Linked DNA regions of Cricetulus griseus. The protein of the gene in region 5 purifies or fractionates together with the protein of the main gene of each other region. This does not show direct contact. Links are inferred from orthologs where the notes say so. Each region holds a gene or a part of one and is shown on either strand. Other genes may lie near its edges.

Region 1 (3,500 bases), on a different chromosome or scaffold from region 5:
ATTTCAGCGTGTGATTGCCTGAGGAGTTTGAGGGGTGCATGCGGACGGAGAGGCAGGCATTGCTTTGCCTCCATGTGCTTGTCCTTGTCTCTTCTGCTCTGTAGGCAAAGATGAAGAAGGGTGCAACTGATTGAGGGGTACTGTAAGGGCTGTGGGGGAGAAGCCTTTAAGAAAATGATCGTTTGGGAATGAGAGGGGTCTTCTAACCTGACTTGATACTGGAATGAGTGAAAATGGGAGGCCTATGGTGCTTGTACAGCCTTAGGGCCTGTCTAACTTTGCAAGGGCAGAACTGGAATCATTTCAGGGCTACTTTGGGGGCTCATGAGCTCATGTTTACCACTGTTCTCTTGGTCCTACTACTTTTTTGGGGTCCAGACATGAATTCCATATGTTGGGTAAGATTCTTGTTGGATGATAAGGGAGCTGAGCTTTGAGACTGGTTGTGGGCTCCATTCCTCAAGCTAAAGCTTTTGGATACCTTCAAGGAAAGAAGGCTATAGTTTGATAACCTCCATTGAGCCCTTAAGTCTTAGTTGTAATGTTTTAGGAAAATTATGATTGAGTGAGTAATGCAGTCCTTCAAATAGTATTGCTCTTCATGCTGTCTTGGCTTGCTTGCCTGGAGCATTAGGGTGACCTCTTACATACTGTGTCATCCTTGAGTAGGTATGAGAGATCATTGGCTTTGAACCTAGGGCCAGGTAATAACGTGAGAAGTCGTCTTTGAGGGTACTCTTTGCTCTGTGTACTTGTGTCAGCTCCACCCCCTCCCTGCCACTTCCTGTCTGTCTTATGTTGGCACTGGGTGCCCTGGGCTGCTTCCGCGGTCAGGAGCCATTTTCCTTCTCTTCAGTGGGTGAGGCACTCCCTTCTCTCTCCTCCCTTTCCTACTCCCCCCTTCTTGGGCGGGGGTGGCTTGGGAAGAGATGGAGGAGAGGGAGGAGGGAACTGGGAGCCAGTGTACGTCTGGTACAAAGAAAGCTGCCTCCTAGCCTTCTCCCTCTGTGCCCTTTCTACCTATCCTTGCCCAGGAGCCCCAGTGTTACCCAGGCTTTGTGTGTGCTTCTAGCCAGGGAAGGAGGTGGAGCCAGATGGGAGGGGGGTTGGGAAGGGGAGATGGTGACAGCTGGGCTGATTCCGGGGCCCCTAGGGAGAAGAGTCGCCTGACCCAGGAGAAAGCTGGAAAGAAACAGTAGGACTAGAGATGGAGAAAGGAAACTGGGAATGGGTATGAAGTTGAACTGGAAACTGAATCTGGGACTGGGGAGATTCTGGTGGTTCTGAGCAGTGATAATCGTGAAGGGGTTTGATAAGGGTGTGATTTCTTAGACCCTGAACCTGGTGTTTGATCTGGTGGTGTGCTGAGTTTGTGTTTAGTGCATTCTTCTAGTTAGGCTTTCCTCACCTTTCAGTCTCATGGGCTGTTTGGTGGCCACTTGTGGGAGGACCAGATCCAGTTCTCCTATTTGCTGCAATCCAGGCAGCTCCATTTACCACAGCTGGAGGTGACTAGAGTGCTGAGGAGAGGTAGGGACCTGGACAGCTGCCCGAGGTGGGCCTGCGCTAGCCTGGCAGGCCTGTTTCAGGGACCTCGCTCTCTTTGTCTGTTTGTGCTCTGGGTATCAGCTCCCTTCTGTGTAGTGTAGCAATTCTCTTTAGGGGATCTGGGACCAGAGGTTGGGAGATAGACTAACCCTCTACACTAGATCCTTACCTTTTGCCTTCTCCCCCCCCTTCCCCTGTCTGTCACACTTGGCCAAATGTGTGTAGAAAATGAAGAAGACCCAGAAGAGGATTTATCAGAAGCAGAGACTCCAAAGCTCAAAAAGAAGAAAAAGCCTAAGAAACCTCGAGACCCTAAAATCCCTAAGAGCAAGCGCCAAAAAAAGGAGGTGAGTGGGTGACTGAGTGTTCTGGGGAGTGAGAGGAAGGAGAAGGAGGTGCTCCAAGAAGGGTTGTAGGCCTGAGGGGAGTTTTTCCTTCTGGAGCTGTGGGTCAGGTCCTGGGATGAGCCTCAGGACTGTCCTGAGGTGAGCATGTGTGTAGCATGTGTGTCTGTCCCCTCTTCCCCCTTCCCTGCTCCAGCGTTTACTCTTATGCCGGCAGCTGGGGGACAGCTCTGGGGAGGGGCCAGAGTTTGTGGAGGAGGAGGAAGAGGTGGCTCTGCGCTCGGACAGTGAGGGCAGCGACTACACTCCTGGCAAGAAGAAGAAGAAGAAGCTTGGACCTAAGAAGGAGAAGAAGAGCAAGTCCAAGCGGAAGGAGGAGGAAGAAGAGGAGGACGATGACGATGATTCAAAGGTGCGAGGCCTCTGTCCTGTCAAGACCGCTGCCCTCTCCTCTTTCCTGTTAGCCCCTGAGCCTTGTTCCGATACGTTCCTGCCCTTCAGAGCACAATCTCTCCATGTAGTTTTGATTGTTTCCTCTTAGCTCTCTTTTACCTTGCTCTTGCAAGCCATAGTTTCAACTCACGTTCTCTTAGCAAGTGTGAGCAGTAGGAGACAGGTCCTGGATTGTGTTCCCTCTGCAGGAACCGAAATCATCTGCCCAGCTTTTGGAAGACTGGGGCATGGAAGACATTGACCATGTGTTCTCAGAGGAAGACTACCGTACTCTCACCAATTACAAGGCCTTCAGCCAGTTCGTCCGGTAAGTCAGGAGGATCTTAGGGACTGGGAAGGGAGGAGATTCCTTCTACAATTTCATCTTGTTTCCTTTTATCTTTTATTTTTATACACGGCCATCTTTCTTATTCTTGTCCCTCTTATTCTTGCCATCTCTCTATCAGACCCCTAATTGCTGCTAAAAACCCCAAGATTGCTGTCTCTAAGATGATGATGGTCTTGGGTGCAAAGTGGAGGGAATTCAGTACCAACAACCCCTTCAAGGGCAGCTCTGGGGCTTCAGTGGCGGCTGCGGCGGCAGCAGCTGTGGCTGTGGTGGAGAGCATGGTGACTGCTACTGAAGTTGCACCTCCCCCTCCCCCTGTGGAGGTGCCTATCCGCAAGGCCAAGACCAAGGAGGGCAAAGGTGAGATGGAACTTAATGAGGAGTTCAGGGTGGGCTTGGGAAGTCAAAAGACAGCCTAGGAATGCTGTATCACCCCTAAGGTAGGCAGCAGGATGCAGGAGTGAACCTCAGATTTAGAAGATAAGGCAGAGTAGAGCAAAACTTAGGTGAAGACTTTGTTCTCCCATCACTTGCCTTGTAATATACATTTGGCTGTGCACTGGCTTTAGGTCCCAATGCTCGAAGGAAGCCCAAAGGCAGCCCTCGCGTGCCTGATGCCAAGAAGCCCAAACCCAAGAAAGTAGCTCCTCTGAAAATCAAGCTGGGAGGCTTTGGCTCCAAGCGGAAGAGATCCTCGGTGAGAGCCTGGTTCATCCCAGTGGGGAAGGAGGGAGCTTCTGTTGGGTACATGAGAATGGGGTATTTTACTGCCTTAGGCAGGTGTGACTACGCTCCTTCTCTGCAATTCTTGCTGGGATTCTTCACCA
Region 2 (4,044 bases), on a different chromosome or scaffold from region 5:
TCATTTTAACTGAAGTGACTGGGCAAGGCAAACTTGCGTTTTCATCAAGAGGATGTGCTCAGAAGAGCAAGCATGCTGAGATTTTTATTTTTATTCTAACTCAGGTGGTGACCTGTGTCTTCTCTCATTGGTTGGGGTCTGACCTCACACTCTTAATTCTAGTAGCTCTTCTGAAGAGACTTGGTGCACAGGAAACGAAGAAGGCAGAAGGGAGTCATTGCCTCCTGCCATCAGTTCCCTGAAATACATCAAAGTTCTGGCTTCAGCTGGGTGGGAAGAGCATTTGTCTAAAAGTCTTACAAGGTGGGGGAGGAAAAAGATTTGAATTCCTTGCCTTTGTAGAGGGAACAGTGAAGAAACCACTGGCATGGCTGCTTCATGATAATTTTTTAAAATTGTGGGTAAGAAAGAAAATATCCATAGGCATCTGGAAGAGCCCAGAGCTGAGAGAAAAAGCAGCGGACTGGACATGGCCAGGGCTTTCTGTGAAGGAGAGAACAGTGGGAGAGATAGTGAGATAGCAACAGATAGCAGGCACAGCGGGGAAACCGTGGCGTTTTAAAGAATGGGGCTGTCGGACAGCCTGGGGGCTTAGCATAGGGCAGGAGGAGTAGGGGGAGAGGCCAGGAGGCTCTGGGTTTGGGTACTTGTGAATAGGGACTGTGCTGTAGGCTAGCGTGGACTTGATATTCAACCACAAGAAAGTATGTAAGTAGGTATGTATGTATGTGTCAATAGAGAGTCCTAAGCCCCATCTGTCAGGCAAGGGAAACGATTCAGAGGAATGCCGACTTTTATCTAACTGCTGGGCCAAGACTGTTATTTCTGGATATATGGACTTCCTGAGGCCTAAACTTCCTGAGTCCTAAACACAAGTTTTATAGTTTTTGATAGAAAAGACTTCATATTTGAATATTTCTTACATTGAACAATTATAAGAAAAACTACATTTTGCTGTTTTGTTCTAACTTTGAGTCGGCTTCTTGAGCACAAACAGCTCAAGAGAGACCACCGAGTAACTGGAGGGACTCGGTAGATTTAATTTTTGTCAACCGCAGCTTTAAGGTCAGCAGGTTAAAACCGTAAGCCAAGCCTCCCTTTCCCTTAGCGACCCTGGTGGTGAAACTGCCCCCTGCCAAGGCCTTAGAGGTGGCAGCCGCCCCCCTCCCCCGCCCCCCCAACAAGGCCCTCCCGGGAAGCGCTACCTCTCGCAGAGGTGGGAGGGGCAAGGGACTTCCGGTCGGAGGGAGGCGGCCGCTAGTGCGCAAGCGCGAGTCTCGTTCCTGCCTTTCTCTCTCCCCTCCCCCCTCCCTTCCCCAGCCTGAGGGGTCCTGAGGTGACAGCGCCTGGAAGCGCGACTGGAAGGGCCGGCGGAGGAGGAGATGGACAGGGCCAGGCCCGGGCGTCGGCGATCTTCGACCGGTGAGGAGGAGGGCTTGCGCGAGGGCCGAGCGGACCGTGCTGTCTGCGCGGCTGGCGGCCGCCGGTCGGCGCGGTGGGGAGGGAAGGAAGGAGGGAGGGGGGGAGGGAGCGGCGGGGGGCGCATAATGGAGAGCCCCGGAGCCGCGCGGGCGCGACCGCAGCTGTCGGGGCCGCCTCTGCTGCAGCCTGCCCCTTCTGCACCCCTCTGGCTCGCTCCCTCCTCCCGCGACACTCGGCTCGATTGTCTTCGGCCCACGGGTCTTCCCCGTTGGCTAGCGGCTGACCTGCCACGCCTTCCTCGTAATTTCACCCGCGTTCACGTTCGCTTCCGCCCACGGCGCACTCGATCTCACTTTCTTCCTGCGTCCCTCTGAACCCTTGCCTGGCCGACCCCGCCCCCGCCCGCCCCGCCGCTTCTCTCTCCCTCCCCCCCCCCCCGGCAGATAGGAGAGGCTGCCGTTCGCCCCTCTGTCCCTCAAGTAAATAAGCCTGGTGTCCCTCGTCGTCCCAGCAGGCTCGGTTAATAGCATTTTTCTTTTCCAGCCTCCTGCATCTTCCAAAAGTGATTCGAAAGGCCAAGGATTCGAAGCCGGGCTTTTGTTGTTGTTGTTTTAAATCTCAGCTCATTTTTGTTTGTAGTTGCTTCAAAGCTTGAAACTCAAGAACCTCTTAAGTTTTGTATAGAATTGACACGGAGCTCCGCCCAGTCACGCTATTGTTGTACACGTTATCTGTTAAGTGCGCCTCTTAAGTCCTTGAGTCAAGTCCCGTGTGCACAGAAATGCAGTCTAGTACATAAAACAACATCGGTGAATTCATTAGTATTATTATTTGTTGTTGTTGACAAAGGGTCTCCCTGTGTAACTCAGGATGGTGTCAAATTCTCAGTAACTCCCTTTCCCGAATGCTGGTGTTACAGGCTAGCTCAGCGCCTATCCGACCCCCCCTTTTTTTTTCCATACAGCTTTTCCCTGTGCAGCCCTGGCTGTCCTGCAACTCACTCGGTAGAGTAGACTGGCTTGGACACCGAGATCCATATGTCTCTCCCTCCCAGAGTGCTAGGATTAAAAGACATGAGCCACCACTGCCCGACTTTAGTCCAGCCCATTTAAGAAAATATTATTGTATTGTTCATTTTTGTAGAGATAGTGTTAACAGTTCTAAATCTATTTATGTATGCCCAGTGGCAATGTGTCTAAAATGTTTACTGCAGAATGTAAGGAGGTGAGCACAGATAGCACTTGGCTTAACAGAGTCGAAATCCACAGATCCCTTCATACTCGCTGGATCTTATCAATATTTTTGTCTCTTTTTCGGGGCGGGGGTGGGAGGGATGGTTGTCATCATGCAGCTTTGGAGCTCAGGAGTCTCCTACCTCAGTCTTCCCCCGTGCTGGGATTGTAGGTGTAAGTCACCATGCCTATTTTTTTTTCCCTGTGTATTTTAAATATACTAATTGTTCTTTGCCTTTGAAAGTATAATTATGCTCGAAAAACAAAGGTGTTTTTGTATGCATGTCTTCACTGACCAGTTTTTGTTTTGAGATTTCTGATCCTTGTGTTCAAATGAAATTGACTACTAGAAAAATGCAGTGTCTAATGTCATTTGGTCAGTGGCACTGCTGACCTTTAAGCCCAGCACTCCTCCAGAGGCAGAGGCAGGTGGATCTGTCTCTGTGAGCTTGAGGCCAGCCTGGTCTATAGAGGAGTTCCAGGACAGCCAAGACTATAATGTTTCAAAAAGAAAAAGAAAAAGAAAAATGCAATGTTTAGTTCTATTTGGGAGTTTTTTTGTTTTTTGTTTTTTTAAAGTTTTGTTTCTGTTTTTCTTTTTTCTTTTCTTTCTTTTTTTTTTTAAGATTTATTTATTTATTATGTGTACAGTGTTCTACCTGCATGTTGCCTGCAGGCCAGAGGAGGTCACCAGATCTCGAGCCACCATGTGGTTGCTGGGAATTGAACTCAGGACCTTTGGAAGAACAAGCAGTGCTCTTAACCACTGAGCCATCTCTCCAGCCCGGGTTTTTTTTTTTTTTTTTTTTTTTTTTAATGCAGAACTTTAGGCATAATCATAATCTCAATTCGATACAGTTTCTTCTCAATAAATATGATTCATCTTGACTTATCACATTTTATGTGTTAGTGTGTTATACAGCAAGTCTTTAGCCCTTTTTTTCCATTGGCAAAATCTATCCTTTACCTGGCTATTCATTTATTATTGTTTATTTGATGGATGTACTTTTGGAAAGAGAATTTGAGAATGAAGTTGCTAATCTGAAAACACTGGTATTTATGTTAGCTATAGCTCTAGGAAAGCCCTTTTGAGTGAAGTTTGAGATTAAGACCTCAAATTCATAAAAGACGTTGCTATTTATGTCACTGGAGAATTATTTCTTATGCCTTCTCTGGAAATTTTCTTTCTACGGAGCAGTGTGTAATCAGACCCATTCAGAGATCTACTATTTTCTAGCCATTGTTTTTCCAGTGTGCCTCTAGTTGTGTAATGTGAACATTAAAAAATAATCACCATAAGAATGGACTTTGGGAGCCCATTTCACATAGAGGGATACTTCCTCAGATTAGACACATGGAGGAGGGAGGGGAAGGCCTAGGCCCTATCCCA
Region 3 (3,500 bases), about 230 Mb from region 5:
GCGGAAGCAACAGCAGCCATGGTGGTAAATTTAATAGCAGAATGAGCACTGGCCCAGCCTTTGCTCCACCAGCACTGGTCTCTCAGCCTGACTCACCCAAAAGCAGCGCCGCTGCATACACCTCCACTGGCGCTTGACACCAGGGCGGGAAGGGCGAAGGCAGACTCGGCAGCGGCCACAGTCTTCTTGGGTCTGACAGCCCCGACACACTCCACACCCTCGACTCTGTGGGGGCCGGAGTTGTGATGTATGGGGTCAGGGCCTTGAAGGCCAGGGACTGAGGAGAGCCTTGGCACACCTCATCTGACTGACTCACCTTCTCCACAATCCGCAGGCAGCGTCTCTGCTCACACTTGCAGAAGAGTCCTGAGGCTACATCATGGGGCAGCTGCAGGCGGCAGATAGAGCAAGTCCCACAGTCTTCTTTTACCAGGCAAGCTGTACACTCTCCACAGCCAACTCTCTGTCAGAAATGTATGGGGTAAGATTAGAAGCCTAGACAGGGGACTCAAGGACCACTATCCTTCCAAATGTTAGCCATGCTTATTAGTCTCCCGTTAACCTCTTTACTCTAGCTAATAAACTACTGATTAGCTTACCAACACCAAGGCCACTACTGTTCCTTCTACTAGTGCTCTGTTAAATTCATCCCTGTGTCTACTAGTACCCCATTAATTACCATTATTGCATCTACAAACTAACCAACAGCAGGTCTCAATTTAAAAAACAACAACAAAAACAAAAAAACAAAAAAGACCTGTCATGACTCCTAAACCCTCCATCAGTCCTATGACATCCTGTTCTCTTATAGACTATGGGAAATATACTGTTCTTACCCTAAACATTCTCTGTTCTCGGTTGAAGGCAATTCTCTGTGCTGGTGGAAGAAGGAAGAATGGTGAGAAATGGAAAAGAAGCAACAGACACAGACATATGGCTTCAGCTACTATCTTAACCCTGACTCTCACTGTTCTACATATGCCAATAGAGTAGGGTCACAGGCTGATTCCATATATGCCCAAAGCCGCTATCCTATCCTGACATGTACTGTATAACCTCCAGCTTAGCCTGGCACTGGATCTAATATGTGGTTTGTCTCCTAATTCCTAGGGACTTACCTCGGCAGTCTTTGCACAATGTCTTAAGCCTCTGCCTTTTGACACCATCCCATGAGAAGTGGTTTCCACAATTCTCACAGCACCTAAAATTAAAAGAGCAGAGCTATGTACTCCCAATCCCAAGCCTCACCCACCTGGCTAACCTTAAGCCAACACTCACCCAGGTGCAGATAATGAAGCTGGAGCTGTGCCAGTGCCAGCCTTATTCTCATCCTGTGGAGTCTCCTTCTTGACCTCACTCTTCTGAGGCCCAACCTGACGTTTCTTGACCTTGGATGGTTTAGAAGGCTTCTTTTTCTGCTTGCTAGGGACAGTCACGGGATGATGGGTCTAGAGATGAAGACAGGAAGAGTGTGGGTTAGTACATGGGTATCACGTGACACAGGTGCCCTGGCACGGACACTGACATTGTGAAGTACCTTGGGAGCTGGATAGCACAAGATGCCTTGTCTGAAGTCAAAGAGGGTAAGATCACATGCGGGGCCTAGGTATCGAGTCAGCTCAACTTTGCTTCGAATCTTGTCTCCTGTGGGGCTGAAAATGAACCACAATGAGTTGGCACCAAGAGGGAGCTAATGTCATGCCACCCACACAACATCCCCACAGATTTGGTGAGATGCAAGAAGCAGTCTGGATTCAGCCTGTGAGCCCCACCCAAGTCCTACCTCAATACAAGTAACAGGAATACAAAATATGAATATAAATACCATCATGCACACAAATGTTAATAAATAATAGAGCTGTGAACCTCATTTTGATCCATGCCATCACATATTCTATAGTAAATCCATAAAATTATAATACAGGGGAAAATTCTATTATCTGGCAATACTATACACACAACATTATACAGGCATCTGTAGTGATGTTAGTGTAAACAAACCTAGTGTAATACCACAGTACATACTTGATTAATAATAACTACAATTACTGGTTTATGAACTTAGTGTGATTTTTATCATTTTAGAGTCCTACATATGAAAAAAATTAATGTACTGTGAAACTGCAATGTTAGACTAGTAGTACCCTGATATAATTAAATGATTATTGCTTCTCTTGACTTCCTAATTCTCTCTAGTGTTTGATTTAATCTCGGGATTTTTATTCAGCAAAGGAGCATATTCCATAGCATATACAGTTATGTGGTATCCAACAATGCTCTCATCAATAATCAACTATATATACATGACAGTCCCTAAGATTATACTTTCTAATGACACCACACGTCCTAGCTTTATAATCTATGATTTTAACATGAAAAAATCATTTATAACATGTTCTCAGAATGTATCAGTACCAATAAGCAATGTATGACTATATGAATATTTAGCTTAGGTGTATAGTGTAGTGTACTATATCACTGAGTTTGTGTATTCCTCAGATTGTATTACTATTGGTAACTGTGCATAGACACATAAGCAGGCAGGGCACTGTACACATGCCTTTAATCCCAGCACTTGGGAGGCAAAGGCAGGTGGGCGGATCTCTGAGTTTAAGGCCAGCCTGGTCTATACAATCAGTTCCAGTATACCCAGGGCTCAGTAGAGAGAGACCCTGCTCCAAAATAAATAATAATGAAGACACATAAACATACTTACAACATGTAACACCATTAGTGTTGAAAATATGAGTAAAAATCAACACAAAATAGTAAGTAAGTAAGATATAAATATGTATTTTGGTTTGTTTTGCTTTGAGATGGGGATATCATTTTAACCCAAAGGGCTTTGAAACTCATATGTAAAGAAAGATGAACTTCTGATCCTCCTGCTTCTACCACCCCAGTGCCAGTTTTTCAGAAGTGTATATAGTACTAGAAATCAAACTCAAGGCTCCAAGAACACTAGACAAGTACCCAGTACTCAAATGTTATGTATTACATACCAAATGCATGATCATAAAAGCTTATAACAGAACTATTTTTTAAAACATGAAAATGAAATTATATTCAATACAAAGTATAAGTAGCTAATGTTGAGGGATGACATTCTAGGTCTTTTCACTTCTGCAAGAATCATCAGAGGCATTCATTATCTCCTGAAACAAACTACCTTCTCATTGTTTGTAAAAACAGGTAACTTTTGAAAAGGTCCCCTCCCTTCCAGGGGAAAGGACAGCAATGCTTATCATACTGATACTTGATTTTCTAAACTCAAATACACAGGCTGCCTTTCCTATATACAGTGCAGCATATATGCTACTTAGCCCTCTTCATGTCATCCTATGGGGATTGGGATTCTAAGAAATGCCAAAAACAGGTATTTTAGGCTCTGATACTACTGTGAGAAATTTTTTTTATATCTGGCCCAGGAAGTATCACATTTCCTATCAGCATCCACAAAACTAACAAACCCATTTACTAGTCTGATAAATATGTATCTT
Region 4 (4,224 bases), about 380 Mb from region 5:
TACGTTCTTGTCACTTACTCCCTCAGCACCTCTGTTGGGTCTAGAAAAGAATAAGAAAAAACTTCATGAGAGCCAGCATGGTGGTGCATGTCTGTTACCCTCTGTCCATTGCCCTGTCCTGAAAAACAGGGCTGGTGAGATGGCTCAGTGGCTAAAAGCACTTGCCATTTGACCTGACAACGTGAGTTTAGTCCACGGGACCCACAAGGAGAGAACTGACTTCTGCAAGTTGTCCTTTGACCTCCATACATACATAAGCACATACACATACACACACACACACACACACACACACACACACACACACACACACACACACACACACACAATGTAACAAAATAATAGCTGAAGAGATGGCTTAGCAGTTAAGAGGATCCTGGTTCAGTTTTCAGCACCCACATGGTGGCTCATAGCCATCTATAACTCCAGTCTGGGCAATCTGATGTCCTCTTCTCACCTGGGTACCAGGGCATAAACGTGTGTGTGTGTGTGTGTGTGTGTGTGTGTGTGTGTGTGTGTGTGTGTGTGTGCATCTGTGCAGGCAAAACACTCAAACATGTAAAGTAAAAATAAGGGTGTTTTGTTTGTTTTTAATGTAATAAACATGAGCTGTGTCAGACTTGGGGAGTTTCGTGCATCAGGAGACAAACCTTTACTGAATGGTTTCTTTAAAAATGGGCAGGATAATAATTGATTTCTGTATGGTATGGAGGTTAGATGAGGTAATCCATTAAAGTGCTTAGCCTAGTGTTGGTAATAGAGAAAGTGTCCCCAAAGTACAGGCTTTTGTTGTCAGCTTCCTGGAGGTGGCTAGACCCTTGATGCTAGGTACTCTCTTCACTTTTCTTTGTAGCTCTTAGTCCACTAATTATTAAGTCACTTATGATTATCTGTTCAATGTCTGACTACCCAGGCCTTGTGCAAAGTAGATATTCCATAAATAATGAACATATGAATGGATGGATGGATATTACTTCATGTCTGAGCCACCACTTCTTCATCTGCAAAATGGGGTTATTAATAGCCCCTACCTCGCAGGATTGGTATGAAGAATTAAATGAAGCAATGCCTGGACAGCTTCCAGCCCAGTGCCTGGCGTGCAGTAGGTGCTCACTAAACCTGAGCTGCGGTGGTCCTTTCCAGGCGCTGTCCACACCCCAAGGCCTGGGCTCAGGCCGAAGTGGCCCCACAACACCCCCAGCTGACAACCAGCGACTGGCAGAGTCCCCAAGCACGGGGGCCCTCTGTTTACCAGGTCAGGCATGAAGGAGCACTGAGGGGGCTGGAAAGGGGTGGGGCTGTGTGCGGGTAGCTGGGGTTGAGTGTGGACCCTAAATCATGTGGAGAATTCAGATCTGTTACATGTCTTGTTGCCCACAGAGATAACCAGTGTGACAGCCCAGGCGGCAGAGCCGAGGGTGAGTGCACCTTGGGGAATGGGGATGAGAAGGAAAGATGCTAATGAGTCAGTTTCATGTGGTATGGCCATCTTGTCCTGCTGTTGGGCCTCTCTCTCCAAGACAGTGATGCTATCTATCCTCTTGGACCCTATAGACTATCGAAGTGTATGTATACCCGATTGAAGACCTGCAAGTGATTTGGGCTTGGGCCAGGGGCTGGAACACAGAGGAACAATGGAAGCATAGAGAAAGGGCTCATTAGGATGTGGGAAACCAAAGATGCTCAGTGAAGAACCTCCCACCTCTCCTTTTCTGGCAGGTTCTGGTCCTGGCTTCTCGCACCCTCATGTCAGCCCTGGCCCCGCCCGGTGGCCCTCGGAGGACAAGGTCAGGATGCGTGTGAAGCCCCAGGGCCTTGTGGTGACTTCCAGTGCAGTGTGCAGCTCTCCTGACTACCTCCGAGAGCCCAAGTACTACCCCGGTGGTCCCCCAACCCCCCGGCCCTTGCTTCCTACCCGACCTCCTGCCAGCCCACCTGACAAGGCCTTTTCTACCCACACCTTCTCTGAGAACCCACGCCCACCCCCACGCCGGGACCCTAGTACCCGGCGTCCACCAGTCCTTGCCAAAGGAGACGACCTGCTACCCCCTCGGGCAGCCCGGCCTGTCTCCCAGGCCCACTGTCCCACACCGGCCCCAGACAGCAACTCCCTCCACCACTGGGACAACGGCCGTGTGAACCTGCGTCCAGTGGTGCAGCTGATTGACATCATGAAGGACCTGACAAGGCTGTCCCAGGACCTGCAGCACAGTGGTGTGCATCTGGACTGTGGTGGGCTGAGACTGAGCCGCCCACCTGCCCCACCACCCGGTGACCTGCAGTACAGCTTCTTCTCCTCACCTAGCCTGGCCAACAGTATCCGAAGCCCTGAGGAGCGCGTCACACCTCACGCCAAGTCAGAGCGGCCCAGCCACCCCCTCTATGAACCTGAGCCTGAGCCCAGGGATAGTCCCCAGCCTGGCCAAGGCCATGGACCTGGAGCCACAGCTACAGCCACTGGTCTGCCCCCAGAGCCCGAGCCAGATGGGCCTGACTATTCCGAGCTAGCAGATGCCGATATCCTCAATGAACTGGCCTCCCTTACGTGTCCTGAGGCCCAGCTCCTGGAGGCTCAGGCCCTTGAGCCACCATCTCCGCAGCCGGAGCCACAGCTCCTAGACCCCCAGCCCCGCTTTCTAGACTCGCAGGCGCTAGAGCCTTTAGGTGAAGGTTTGGAGCTACCACCCCTGCAGCCTCTTGCTGATCCTCTGGGGCTGCCAAGCCTGACTCTGCAGGCCCTAGATACCCTACCTGACTCCTTGGAGTCCCAGCTCCTTGACCCCCAGGCCCTCGATCCCCTGCCCAAGTTGCTGGATGTCCCTGGTCGACGTCTAGAGCCCCAGCAGTCCCTGGGGCACTGCCAATTGGCTGAGCCCTTACGCCTAGACTTGTGCTCACCTCATGGTCCCCCTGGGCCTGAGGGCCACCCCAAGTACGCCTTGAGGCGAACTGATAGGCCAAAGATCCTGTGTCGACGGCGGAAAGCTGGAAGAGGGCGGAAGGCAGATTCAGGACCTGAAGGCCGCCTACTTCCCCTGCCCATGCCTACAGGGCTAGCAGCTGCCCTGACTGAGCCCCCGCCACTGCCACCACCTCCACCACCTCCTGCTCTGTCAGGCCCAGGCCCAGTTTCTGAGCTGGAGGCAGAGTCCTCTCAGACCCCAGTGGTCCCCACCCGCAAAGGCAAGTGCAGGGGTGTACGGCGCATGGTGGTGAAGATGGCCAAGATCCCTGTGTCCCTGGGGCGCAGGAATAAGACCACATACAAAGTTTCATCCTTGAGCAGCAGTCTGAGTGTGGAAGGCAAGGAGCTGGGCTTGCGGGTGTCGACAGAGCCCACCCCATTGCTGAAAATGAAGAACAATGGCCGGAATGTGGTGGTGGTCTTCCCGCCAGGTGAGATGCCCATTATCCTCAAGCGTAAGCGTGGCCGCCCTCCTAAGAACCTGCTGCTGGGTCCCGGCAAGCCGAAAGAGCCAGCAGTGGTAGCTGCTGAGGCTGCTACTGTCGCGGCGGCCACCTTGGCCATGCCAGAGGTGAAGAAACGGAGGCGACGAAAACAAAAGCTGGCATCTCCTCAGCCATCGTATGCAGCAGATGCCAATGACAGTAAGGCTGAGTACTCTGACGTCCTTGCCAAGCTGGCCTTTTTGAACCGCCAGAGCCAGTGTGCTGGGAGGTGCTCACCACCCCGCTGCTGGACTCCCAGTGAGCCTGAGTCAGTGCACCAGGCTCCAGACACCCAGAGCATCTCCCAATTCCTTCATCGTGTACAGGGCTTCCGGAGGCGAGGAGGCAAAACAGGAGGCTTTGGAGGCAGGGGTGGAGGTCATGCGGCCAAGGCAGCCCGCTGTTCCTTTAGTGACTTCTTTGAGGGCATTGGCAAGAAAAAGAAGGTGGTACCAGTGGCAGCTACTGGGGTTGTGGGTCCAGGTCTCACAGAGTTGGGGCACCCACGTAAAAGGGGCCGAGGGGAGATAGATGCTGTGACTGGGAAACCCAAGCGCAAGAGGCGGTCCCGAAAGAACGGGACTCTGTTCCCAGAGCAGGTGCCCAGTGGCCCAGGCTTTGGGGAGGCAGGTGCTGAGTGGGCTGGGGACAAGGGTGGTGGCTGGGCCCCTCACCATGGGCATCCAGGAGGGCAAGCTGGCCGAAACTGTGGGTTCCAAGGGACCGAGGCCCGGGCTTTTGCTTCCACTGGACTGGAGAGTGGGGCTTCAGGCC
Region 5 (3,500 bases):
GGACAGGCTCCAAAGCAATACAGAGAAACCCTGTCTGGAAGCAAAAAAAAAAAACAAAAAACAAAAAACAAAGCAGCACTCTGGTATAACAGATGCTAAATAATCTGTTATGCATGAATCAACTTACCTAAAATGCCCAGTACTCCATAAGAATAATGTTAAATCATGAAAGGAAATAACTTTCAATAGATCCTGAAGGGACCTAACTTTAAAGTACTGGCAAAACATTGACTATTTTAGCAAATTTACTTCTACCTGTTGTTTTTTATTGCATTTTGTTTTTGTTTGCTTTTTGTGGTAATGAGGATTAAAACCCAGCCAGGTGGTAGCAAACACCTTCAATCCCCAGCACTAGGGAGGCAAAGGCAGGCAGATCTCTGAGTTCCAGGCCAGTCTGGTCTACAGAGCTAGTTCCAGGACAGCCAAGGACCGTGAAACTCTGACTCGAAAACAAAAACAAACAAACAAAATACCAAACCAAACCAAAAATCCAAGAGAACAAAACCCAATTCCTCATATACACTAGGCAAACACTCCACTACTGAGCTATATATCTTCTGCTAAAGATAAAGTTGTGATGTCAGGCTGTGAAAATGGCTCAGTAGGTAAATACACTTCCTATCCAAGCCTGAAGACCAGAGTTCAGTCCCTGGAACTAAAAAGCTGGATGTGCTGGTCTTCCTACTGCAAGATGCGGGGGCAAAGACAGAACTGGCTGAAAGCTAGCCTCAGATATCCTGCTCACAACCAAAACAAGAGACTTTGACTCACACAAGAAAGTGAAAGTGACCTGCCCCTTAGAAATTAAAAATTTAAACAAACAAAAAAGCACTTATATTGAAATGCTAGTTATAAACTGGGCATAGTAGTACAATGCTTTCAGCACTAACCTGGACCTCACAGAGATCCACTTGACTCAGAGAGCTGGGATTAAAGCCTTGGCTTCTTTTCATAAATCGTTTATTATATATGCACATGTGTATCTATTAAGTGTATATTCCTGTTTGTCTGCATGAGTGTGGGTGTGTATGACTGGAAGTCTGAGACCACCTCAGTTGTAGGTCCCCACCTTCTAAACTTATTCACTGCGAGGTATGCCAGGCTAGTTACCCCTCAGGCTTCCAGGGATTCTCTTGTTTCAGTCTCAATCTCAGTGTGGGACCACAGGGAGAGATGCATGTGCCTAACTCTGCATGGGTTCTAGTATCTAAATTCAAATGCTCACACTTGCCATAACAAGTGGTCTACTCACACTCATTGAGACCTCTAAGTACTATGTATGTCTTATCTCTGTCTTTGTCTGTTTCTTTTCTTTTCTTTTTCTGGCATACCTGAGAATCAAACCAGAACCCTGAGTATGCTAGGTGAAAGCACTTTACCATTAAACTACACCCACCTCTTGTCCCTATTTTATTAAAGGGGAAAAAATGAAAAGATTATAAAATTAAACAATGGACCGAAGAAATAGCTCAGTATTTAAGAGCACTGCCTGCTCTCCCAGAGAACCATGGTTTGGCTCCCAAAACTCACATGGCCACTCACAACCATATGCAACTCCTGTTCCAGCTGATCTGATGCGCTCTCTGCACTGTGGGCACCAGACAACACAAATGCAGTATACAGATATACATGCAGGTAAAAGACTCACACACACACACACACACAAAAAAAAAAAAAAAAAAATTTATGTGTGTTTTCGGAGACAGGGTTTCTCTGTGTAGCCCTGACAGTCCCGGAACACTATCTTTAGACCAGTCTGGCCTCAAACCCATGCCCCCCCCTTTCTGGGAATAAAGGTGTGTATCATCACCCAGCCCAGCAAGAAAATATTTTTTTTTCTTTTCTTTTTCTTTTTGGTTTCAAAACAGCATTTCACTGTATAACACCCCTAGCTGGCCTGGAATTAGCTCTGTAGACCAGGTTGGCCTCAAACTCACAGAGATCTGCCTGTCTCCCAAGTGCTGGGATTAAAGGTGTACGCCACCAACCAGCTAAGAATTTTTTAAATAACAAAAATAAAAGAAATTAGCCAAGTTCATCCACCTATATCTTAAAGGGTGGAACAAGAATCTGGTCCCAGACTATCTGGCTCCCAAATTTGTGTTCCCAACCAATTTCTTAAATTACCCCTCAAATATAAGATTATTAAAACATCAGCTCCACAATGGGAGACTATTGTGGTCTATTGACTCTCTTGATTTTTATGAAAGTGTATAAATGGGAAAAAGACAGTGGCTCTGGGTAAATTTTTCTACCTCTACAGAGTCCTAATGCCTGAAAAAGAAAGCACTTACTCAGAAAAGCCTTTCCACTTCAACAGATACTCCACTTGCCCCTTAACCATGCGTCTGTCTAACACCTTTTCCACCACATACTCCTCCTCATCCTCGGAAGAAGAACTGTCAGCTGTCCTCTTGGTTTTCTTTCCCATGTCGCACGCTGATCCACCTGAAGGACTAAGGCCACCAGGTTCCTGAAAAGGGATAAAGATAAAACGGTTACAATCCGTGAGGGTTATAACTGCCACTTCTTGATGGAACAGAGGGTACAATACTAGTCAGTCTCATACCCTTCTTTTTGGTCTACAATTATTCTAAGACAGGGCTACAGATTTAATTTTAAAATGGGTCAATCCACATTTCCCTAACAACAACTTCTCTTCAGTTGAAGAGATCAAATTAGATGACACATTCCTTTAATTTTAATATTCAAAAAACCAAGTAGCATGACATGCTACTCATGACCATTTCTGCATCTACTTGTGAGCCAGGAACTCAAAGGAAAATGTGGAAAACCTTCAATTAAAGGAACCAAAAAATAAAAATCCTTTTCCTCTGAGGCGAATACATGTTTTTATAAAAATGAAGAAAAAGAAAAAAAGAAACCTTCCCCCACAAAACACCCAAAAGTAACTTTTCCATACTCTGAGCATTTTGGTCAGTCTCTTCTCAGCGTGTACGTGTACATACACACACACACACACACACACACACACACACACACACACACACACACACACGGCAGTTAACCATCTCTCACCACATTTCTAGTGACTTGGTACATTTCCCTTAAACAACTTGAGTCTGTCCCTTTAGCATGTCCATCAGCTCACAAAAACAAGGCTGACAGCTCAAAAACACTAAGCCTCCTTTTTAGCAAGCTCATTTGGGAATAGAAGGGAAAGGGGGCAGAGGGAAAAAAATTCAAAATTAGTCATTGGACTAGTCTGTAATTCCCAGGGCTCGACTAACCCAAACAGTTATGGAGGTACCTTGCCTCTTCACTGAAGTTGACTTTGGGCCAAAGGAAGAGGAGGGGAAAGAAGTCTGGCCCCAGATTCTGAATCAACATGAAGCCTCCTCAGAACACAGAGGACTATTCATCTCCCAGGAAAGCCAGGACAAGGCAGCACAAATGGAAATTAGGCTCAGAAATATGCAGTCAGAGGTGCTCAACAGAGAATCTAGTTTTAAAAATTCCCACACTGCTGAACCATAATC
Region 6 (2,988 bases), on a different chromosome or scaffold from region 5:
TCTCCTTGGATTCGGGTGAGGTAAGGACGGGTCAGCGCCTGTCAGAGAGATCTTGTCCTCCCCCTGCGCTGGCCCCCAGGGACTCGAGGGGGACCAATGGAGCAGTGTGTGGAAACAGTGAAAGCACCAAGTCCTTGGGGGTGGGGCCGTTTGTGGTCTTCTCACCTAGTGTTCCTGAGGTCCCCGGTTTGAGTCCTAGTCCTTACAAGAGACGCTTTTGTCCCCCAGGGTCCTAGTGGACTGGCATCCCAGGAGTGCCCTACTACCTCCAGGGCTGACACTGACGACGATGAGGAAAGTGAGGAGGAGGAGGAGGAGGAGGAGGAGGAGGAGGAGGAGGAGGAGGAGGAAGAGGTCACTGAAGATGAAGATGAGGACCTAGAACGACTGCAGCAAGATGAGGGGGGTGCCGGAGAGGAGGAGGGAGGAGGAGGAGCAGGTACACGTGTGAGCAGAGCACCCCTGCGGCCCTGCTGGCCTTCCCTCCCCCCCCTGCTCCTTTGCACAGCCCCCTCCTCCCGTTGCTTTTGCTACCCTCCCTTCTCTCTTTTGCAGACAGTGAAGGAGATAAGAGCCCCAGTAGAAGCAACTCACAAGGGGAGCAGCAAAACAAAGGACTGTCAGAGACAGCAGCGTCTCCAGACCCTCACAGCGTAGATGCTGAGAGCAGCGGGGAACAGCCCGAAGAGCCATTCCTAGAAGAAGAGAGTCCTTTGTCCCACAGTTTTCAGCTAGAGATTGAAGACAAGGATACCACCCCATGCCTTGAGGAGAAGGACATTTCCTCTTCTAGGAAACAGTCAGAAGATTCCCTCCCCACTGTCTTGGAAAACGGGGCAGATGTGGTCACCTCTACATCCTTCAATGGGCGTGTCTCTTCCCACACTTGGCAAGATTCTGGTCCCCCATGCAAGAGATCTCGGAAGGAAAAGAAGCTGCTGGATTCTGAACCATTAGAAAACAGGTAAGAGCAGGCGGATGGCAAGGAGCTGGGGCTTTCGGGTAGCAGACCTGAGGTCAGGGTCTTCTGGGAGATACTGGGCACTCTGCAGCCGCAGTTTCGGGTCCCCTTCCCGTCCATCTGTTCTCTTTGCCTTAGCAATGTAGAGAAGCAAAAGGCTCAGCAGGGAAATGGGAAGAATGTGTGGACCCCGCCTACTGGATCTTCCCCAGTGGCCGATTCCTCCACAAGGGTGGACTCTCCCAGCCATGGCCTGGTGACCAGCTCCCTCTGCAGCCCTTTTCCATCTCTGACGTCCCCAACCCCCCAGCCTCAGTCTCCCCAGCCTTGTAGTTATAAGGTAAGTTGGGCTGCTGTGTTTCCCTAACAATTCATTTCTTTATTTTTTTCCGAGACAGGGTTTCTTGGTATAGCTTTGGGTGGCTTTGGAGGCTGTCCTGGAACTTGCTTTGTGGACCAGGCTAGTCTTGAACTCACAGAGATCTCTGCCTCCCAAGTGTTGGGATTAAAGACATGTGCCACCACTGCCTGGCAACAATTCATTTCTTACTGTCCCCTCTCCATGGGGTATTGCACCTCACACATCTCTATTTATCCATCCTAGGTTTGTGTTGTGTGTGCGTGCGTGTGTGTGGTGTATGTGTGTTTAGGTTTATTTTGCACAACGTAGTAGTTTATGCCTTTAAGTCCACCACTCAGGAGGCAGAGACTGGCAGTTTTCTTTTTCTTTTCTTTTTTTTTTTTTTTTTTTTTTTTGATGGCTCCCTTTTTTTTAAAAAAAAAAAGATTTATTTGTGATGTAGTGTTCTGCCCGCATATATGCCTGCAGGCCAGAAGAGGGCACCAGATCTCATAACGGATGGTTGTGAGCCACCATATGGTTGCTGGGAATTGAACTCAGGACCTCTGGAGAGTGGGCAGTGCTCTTAAGCTCTGAGCCATCCCTCCAGCCCGAGACAGGCAGATTTCTATAAGTTCAAGGCCAACTGTCTTGTCTACACAATGAGTTCCAAGGTTACATAGTGTGAGACCCCTGCCTTAAAAAAAGAAAAGGTTTACTTATATGTGAAAAGGTGTTTCGTCTATGCATGTCTGTGTACCACATTTGTGCCTGGTGTTCAGTGGAGTCCAGAAGGGGCGCCTGGTCCTCAAGAACGGGGGTTACAGAAGGCAGCCAGCGAGCTGCGCGCCGTGTGAGTCTGGGTACCGAACCCAGGTCCTCTGCAAAGCAGCCAGTGCTCCTAGTGGCTGGCTCTTCTTCCAGACCTCCATCCTAGTTTGGTTTGTTCTTGAGATAGGGTCTTTCCATGTAGCCCTGGCTGTCCTGGCACTCTGTGGAGACCAGGCTGGCCCCAGACTCAGAGATCCGCCTGCCTCTGCCTCCTGAGTGCTGCTGCCGCCGCCGCCACCGCCGCCGGCTGGACCTGACTCCTCCCCTCTGCCTGTCCCCTTGTGACTTCTCTGCAGATGAGTGTGGCCACGCAGTGTGATCCCGAGGAGATCATTGTGCTCTCAGACTCTGATTAGCGGCCTCCTGCTCGCCCTGCCTCCACAATGTTTTGGATGGCCGCGGGCAGAAGACTGAGCAGAGGATGGACTGCGCTCCTCCCCTTTTGGTGGCGTGTCTTTTGACAACCAGATGTTTTAAGTTTTGCAAACACATTAATAAACAATGAATTTCTTTTCTTATTGTATTCTTGTGTTTACCTTGTGTCTCTGCTGTGACAGCCGCCGCCTGGTTCGGGGCTGGCCTGGGCACCTCGGGGGCGCCGTCCTCACCGCGATCCCGAGCCTCCCCCGGGCCCAGGCGAGAGCGGGCTTCCCGGGCCTCCCGGAGCCGCTTGGCTCAGCCTTGCAGCGGTTGAGTGAAAGGCCCGTGGGGGCCGGCTCCGTCCGGCTGGCTCGGCCAATCCCCAGGGAGGCGGGGCCTCGGGGTGCTGTCATTCGCCGGGGAGAGGGCGGTTAGATCCCGCGAGCCGGGGGTGGAGCCCGAGCGGCGGAAGCCGGTACCGGCCGTCAGCGGAGAG
Region 7 (4,107 bases), about 310 Mb from region 5:
CTTTGAAAAAGAGATAGTTCAGAGTGATTTGGGGGGAAATTACACAAAATAAAAATTCAAGGTGTGATGCTTCAGCTTGGCTCTCTTGTCTTCAACATCATGACACCTTATCATTAGGAGCGACGATTGTTACTTTCCAAGCCTTTAGATGATCAGTCGGAAAGTGCAAACAACGCGGGGCGCGAGGGTGGAAAGTTATTTAAGTACTACACCCCCCCACACACACACCTTGGTGCGCCGTCAAAACATTTCACAAGTTCGGAAAAGAAAGTGGTGGCTTCTAGATAAAAATGATGGGCTCCTTCTTCTCCTTTTCGTATCAGAAGAGACATAAACCGCACAATGAGCCTTTATTTAGAGGGCGACGACTTAAAAATACATGCCAGTAATGGACAACTTGAGCCCTTCACTGGAGATACACTGCAAGCTGGAAAGGAATTAAAAAGCCCCACGTGGTTGATCTGGGTTTAGACTTGCAACCTTCAGTTCTTCATCTCTGTTCTTTGCAAAGATTGGCCTCTAGATGGATTCATTTGAGGGACCCTTTAGAGCCGGGGCTGGGCGCCTGGGGCAGGGCTGATGGTGCGAGCAGAGCAGGGTTCTCACTGGGGGCTTGCTCCTCTGGCCAGGGAGGTCGGGCGCCTCCGGGAGGCGAGCGCGCACGCCCGGAGCCCGGCGGTCGCGCTCCTCGCGCCGCCTTTTCCGCAGGTCTTTATTCATCTCATCTCTCTCTTCCCCTTCTCCTCCTCCTTTGCCTCCTTCTCCTCCTCTTCCTCCTCCTCCTCCACCACCACCACCACCACCACCTCCTCCTCCTCCTCCACCGCCACCTCCTCCTCTTGCATCTCACTGGCCTGGCTCTGTGTTGTTCAGAGTGACAAAGACAATGTCCCAGCCTTAACTTTGCAACCACCTTGCCTCCTTCTGGGGTTCAGCGCGGGAGGGGGGCGGGCAGCAGCCGCAGCTTCAGCATCTCCTCCAGCTTCTCCTGCGCTTCTCCAGCTCTTGGATAATTCTTCGTATTTCCCCCCCAGCCCTTTTCTCATTTCTTTCTTTCTTTCCCTTCCTCTCTCCTGCACGTTGTTGTTATTAGAAAGGCTTCGCGCACCCCCTGGTGCTCTGGCGTTTTGTGTGGCAGGAGAAGATTGTCTTCTCTCTTTCTGTCTTGCTTTCTCTCTCCCTCTGGTTGCTCATTATTCAGAGAGAGACACAGAGGGAGGGAGAGAGAGAGCGCGCGCGAGGGAGAGGGAGGAGAGGAGAGAGAAGAGCAGAGAGAGAGAGAGAGAGAGAGAGAGAGGGGAGAGAGAGAGAGAGTGAGAGGAGAGGGAGGGAGGGAGAGGGGAGAGAGACGGATATCTCAGGTCATCTGCAGCTGCAGCGAGTCTGAGGAGCCGTGGAAGGCAGGGAAGATGGCGATCCTCCATTGCTGAGACCCGGCAGAAGCACATGAGACTCCCAAACAACTTCCACAACAATAACCCGAGCAGGAAGAGGAGAAAGAGAAAGAGGATAAGGAGGCGGTGGGGCTGGAGAACCCGAAGCACCTCCCGGCGCCGGGACGCTTCTTCTGTAAGTTACTGCAATTAACCACCACCTCCGGGGTGGTCTGAGTGCTCCGGGGAGGAGAGCGCGGGGCGGTGGAGGCACAAACGCGCTCATTCATTCGGCCAAGGAGGGCTGGCGGCGCGGGGAGGAGAGGAAGTCCCCTGCATGGGCTGGCTATGAGGAGAGAGGAGAAGAAGCTAAAGAGAGGAGAGACCGAGGAGGAGGAGGAGAAGGAGGAGGAGGGGGAGGAGGGAGAGCAGCAGGGGGAGGAGGAAGAGGAGGAGAAGAAGCTAGGGAGGAAGAGGAGGAGGAAGAGGAGAAGGTGGTGGTGGTAGCTGTGGAGGTGGCTGTGCTTTTCCTGCTGGCTGCTCCTTCTGCCTTCTGCTGGGGGGGGGGAGCCCTGTGGCTTAATTAATTTCGTGTAGTTCTGTGAAGAGAAGAGAGAGAAATGAGATGAGTGAGAGGAGAGAGCTGGAGGCTTAGGACGGATGCTCCGAGTGTGGGGACAGGAGTAGGGACAGAGAAGGGGGGCGGAGGGCTGGAGGCCAGGAGAGACCTGAGCCCGAGCCAGAGGGAGCAAGCGAGGGGTCAGAGGAGGGAGCGCTCGGAGCGAGCGGCCCCGACCTGAGCGGGTTGACCTCTTTCTTTCTCTGTCCCTCTGCTTCCTTTCCCCTCCTCTGTCTGCCTGTCCCCCGCCCGATGGCAAAGCCGTGCGGATTGGCACCCCCCTCTTCCTCAGGTATTTGGCTCTCCTCTCTCTCTCTCCTCTCTCCTCTCCGAAGTTGGGATGCGGGGTCGGGATGTGTCGAGGGGGTGGCTGCAGCCGCCGCTACTGGGGAGGAGAGAGGCGACGAGCGGGGGGCCGCGGGCCGGGTGGGGGCGCAGGTTGAGGGACAGCTGAGGAGCTGTCTCCAGGCTGAAGGTTCAGAAGCGTCTGGTTGGAGGAGGACAACGGTTTCTGGAGAGGAGAAGCCATTACACACGCTTGGCTCCTCTGAGGCTGGGAGAAAGGAAGGCAGGGGCCTGGAGGGGGGGCGTCTCACTCCTGGTGCGGTTCCCAGGGGTCTGCCCTCCCTCCAGGCACGGGGGGGAAGCCGCAGCCGCCCCCCATTGGAGCAGCCCCTCTCTTTCCCTTTCTTTATCTCCCTGTCCTCCATTTGCAAGCTGTCTGCTTTGGTTCCAGTCCAGACTCCAAAACACAAAGCTCCTTCTCACGTTCATTCTCCAGGCTGTTCACCATTCCTGAAGGAACCCTGGTTTTCTTTTCATTGTGGCTCCTAACCTACAGAGAGGGAGGGGAAGAGGTTGCCTGGAGTTTCTTTTATATTCCTCCCCAACCTTAAAAAAAAAAGAAGAAGAGAGAAAAGAAAAGAAAAAAGTTTCATTTTTAAGCACGCGCCTGGGATGGGAAAAGACCAACCAGTTGGGGCTTTCTCCAGGGCTCCCGGGGGTTGTGTCTGAGTGTCTGTGTTGGCTGTTTGGCTTGGTTTGGTTTTGTTTCTGGAGGTTGCTTGCAGGTTTGGGGAGGGAATTGACTAGTTGGGTTGAGAGCTGGGAACTGAGTCAGGTAAGCCTTGTCATGCTGTAACTCCACCAGAAAATGGAGGAGAGCGGGCTTCCAGGAGACAAAGCTGGGATGAGAAGTGTTTATAAAATTATGGATGTCTCCATTTTGAAGCTCTCTTGGTGATGGCTGGAGGAAGAGGCATGCCTGCCTACTCCTTCTCCCTCTCCAGAGGGAGACCTTTTGGTGGTTCCTCGCTATCTATTCATTAAGCAAGGGAATGAGGGCTTTTAAGGGTTCCTCAGATTTTTCTCCTACCCAACGAGCGCTTTCACAAGTTACTGAGATGTTTGTTTCCATTTTAAAGTAAACTTTTGGAATTTTTTTCTCCTTTGGAGTGGACCTTAAGGGTTTTTGACCTCCTTAAGGAAAGACTAGGCAAAATCTAAAACATTTCCACTGAGATCTTCACACAACTTTCAGCTGCTCCAGGTCCCTGAATGTCTCCAGGAAATGTTACTCCCTCAGTGTGAGGGAGGTTGGTGGCCCTAGGCTGAGATTTTTCTTCCTGTCTTTGCTTTTCTCTTTTGAGTTCTGGGGCTTGGTTATCATTCTGATGCATTGCAAAGACTTTATTGTCTGGTTTAGGGTGATTTCTGCCAGAAAGAATAGAATATGTTCCTTCCAGATCTCAGAGGAACTCTCTCAGACTGGCAGCTTCTTCGGGTTCTACATGTCTCTTCAGGCTGCTCCATTTGTGTGTGAGGCCTTCCTAGCTCCTTTGTTCCCCCCTTCCCTTTCCTTCTGCTATTTTCCCCCGTGTTCTCCAGTACTGTAAGTCTTCAGAAATATCACCATGTCTTCTTAACAATGTCACTATGGAAACAAATGATGTCAGTTGAGAAAACCTTATGTCCAGGTATCTTAACCTTTTTAATTGGAAGATTTTATTAATCTTGTAGGAAGACATTTTGTGGGGATGGTTTGAAAATAGGAGCCAGTCCTACCTCAGCACACACACACACACACACACACACACACACACACTCACACACACA

The links.
Region 1: the proteins of Cbx5 (region 5) and Chd4 purify together in Homo sapiens (affinity purification with mass spectrometry; 5 studies listed by BioGRID and IntAct, with this or other methods). This does not show direct contact. The link is inferred for Cricetulus griseus from reciprocal best matches to the Homo sapiens genes CBX5 and CHD4.
Region 2: the proteins of Cbx5 (region 5) and Senp7 purify together in Homo sapiens (affinity purification with mass spectrometry; 3 studies listed by BioGRID and IntAct, with this or other methods). This does not show direct contact. The link is inferred for Cricetulus griseus from reciprocal best matches to the Homo sapiens genes CBX5 and SENP7.
Region 3: the proteins of Cbx5 (region 5) and Mbd1 purify together in Homo sapiens (affinity purification with western blotting; 3 studies listed by BioGRID and IntAct, with this or other methods). This does not show direct contact. The link is inferred for Cricetulus griseus from reciprocal best matches to the Homo sapiens genes CBX5 and MBD1.
Region 4: the proteins of Cbx5 (region 5) and Ahdc1 purify together in Homo sapiens (affinity purification with mass spectrometry; 3 studies listed by BioGRID and IntAct, with this or other methods). This does not show direct contact. The link is inferred for Cricetulus griseus from reciprocal best matches to the Homo sapiens genes CBX5 and AHDC1.
Region 6: the proteins of Cbx5 (region 5) and Daxx purify together in Homo sapiens (affinity purification with mass spectrometry; 3 studies listed by BioGRID and IntAct, with this or other methods). This does not show direct contact. The link is inferred for Cricetulus griseus from reciprocal best matches to the Homo sapiens genes CBX5 and DAXX.
Region 7: the proteins of Cbx5 (region 5) and Znf462 purify together in Homo sapiens (affinity purification with mass spectrometry; 3 studies listed by BioGRID and IntAct, counting the BioPlex papers as one, with this or other methods). This does not show direct contact. The link is inferred for Cricetulus griseus from reciprocal best matches to the Homo sapiens genes CBX5 and ZNF462.

Annotation. Positions count from the first base shown.
Region 1 is NC_048601.1:21,327,357-21,330,856, reverse strand, and holds part of Chd4 (chromodomain-helicase-DNA-binding protein 4), read left to right. Parts: intron 1-1,773; coding exon 1,774-1,895; intron 1,896-2,088; coding exon 2,089-2,304; intron 2,305-2,533; coding exon 2,534-2,652; intron 2,653-2,791; coding exon 2,792-3,033; intron 3,034-3,242; coding exon 3,243-3,370; intron 3,371-3,500. UniProt on the Homo sapiens protein: ATP-dependent chromatin-remodeling factor that binds and distorts nucleosomal DNA. Acts as a component of the histone deacetylase NuRD complex which participates in the remodeling of chromatin.
Region 2 is NC_048597.1:36,024,282-36,028,325, reverse strand, and holds the start of Senp7 (sentrin-specific protease 7), read left to right. Parts: upstream 1-1,244; 5' UTR 1,245-1,382; coding exon 1,383-1,422; intron 1,423-4,044. UniProt on the Homo sapiens protein: Protease that acts as a positive regulator of the cGAS-STING pathway by catalyzing desumoylation of CGAS. Desumoylation of CGAS promotes DNA-binding activity of CGAS, subsequent oligomerization and activation.
Region 3 is NC_048595.1:165,545,061-165,548,560, forward strand, and holds part of Mbd1 (methyl-CpG-binding domain protein 1), read right to left. Parts: intron 1,653-3,500; coding exon 1,538-1,652; intron 1,449-1,537; coding exon 1,279-1,448; intron 1,202-1,278; coding exon 1,119-1,201; intron 878-1,118; coding exon 837-877; intron 464-836; coding exon 317-463; intron 226-316; coding exon 97-225; intron 1-96. UniProt on the Homo sapiens protein: Transcriptional repressor that binds CpG islands in promoters where the DNA is methylated at position 5 of cytosine within CpG dinucleotides. Binding is abolished by the presence of 7-mG that is produced by DNA damage by methylmethanesulfonate (MMS).
Region 4 is NC_048595.1:20,200,461-20,204,684, reverse strand, and holds the start of Ahdc1 (AT-hook DNA-binding motif-containing protein 1), read left to right. Parts: upstream 1-1,424; 5' UTR 1,425-1,474; coding exon 1,475-1,565; intron 1,566-1,719; coding exon 1,720-4,224. UniProt on the Homo sapiens protein: Transcription factor required for the proper patterning of the epidermis, which plays a key role in early epithelial morphogenesis. Directly binds promoter and enhancer regions and acts by maintaining local enhancer-promoter chromatin architecture.
Region 5 is NC_048595.1:399,592,082-399,595,581, forward strand, and holds part of Cbx5 (chromobox protein homolog 5), read right to left. Parts: intron 2,474-3,500; 5' UTR 2,432-2,473; coding exon 2,295-2,431; intron 1-2,294. UniProt on the Homo sapiens protein: Component of heterochromatin that recognizes and binds histone H3 tails methylated at 'Lys-9' (H3K9me), leading to epigenetic repression. In contrast, it is excluded from chromatin when 'Tyr-41' of histone H3 is phosphorylated (H3Y41ph).
Region 6 is NW_023276806.1:232,095,284-232,098,271, reverse strand, and holds the end of Daxx (death domain-associated protein 6), read left to right. Parts: coding exon 1-20; intron 21-228; coding exon 229-439; intron 440-555; coding exon 556-964; intron 965-1,099; coding exon 1,100-1,301; intron 1,302-2,428; coding exon 2,429-2,488; downstream 2,489-2,988. UniProt on the Homo sapiens protein: Transcription corepressor known to repress transcriptional potential of several sumoylated transcription factors. Down-regulates basal and activated transcription.
Region 7 is NC_048595.1:88,915,039-88,919,145, reverse strand, and holds the start of Znf462 (zinc finger protein 462), read left to right. Parts: upstream 1-1,307; 5' UTR 1,308-1,569; intron 1,570-1,873; exon of another isoform or gene 1,874-2,284; intron 2,285-4,107. UniProt on the Homo sapiens protein: Zinc finger nuclear factor involved in transcription by regulating chromatin structure and organization. Involved in the pluripotency and differentiation of embryonic stem cells by regulating SOX2, POU5F1/OCT4, and NANOG.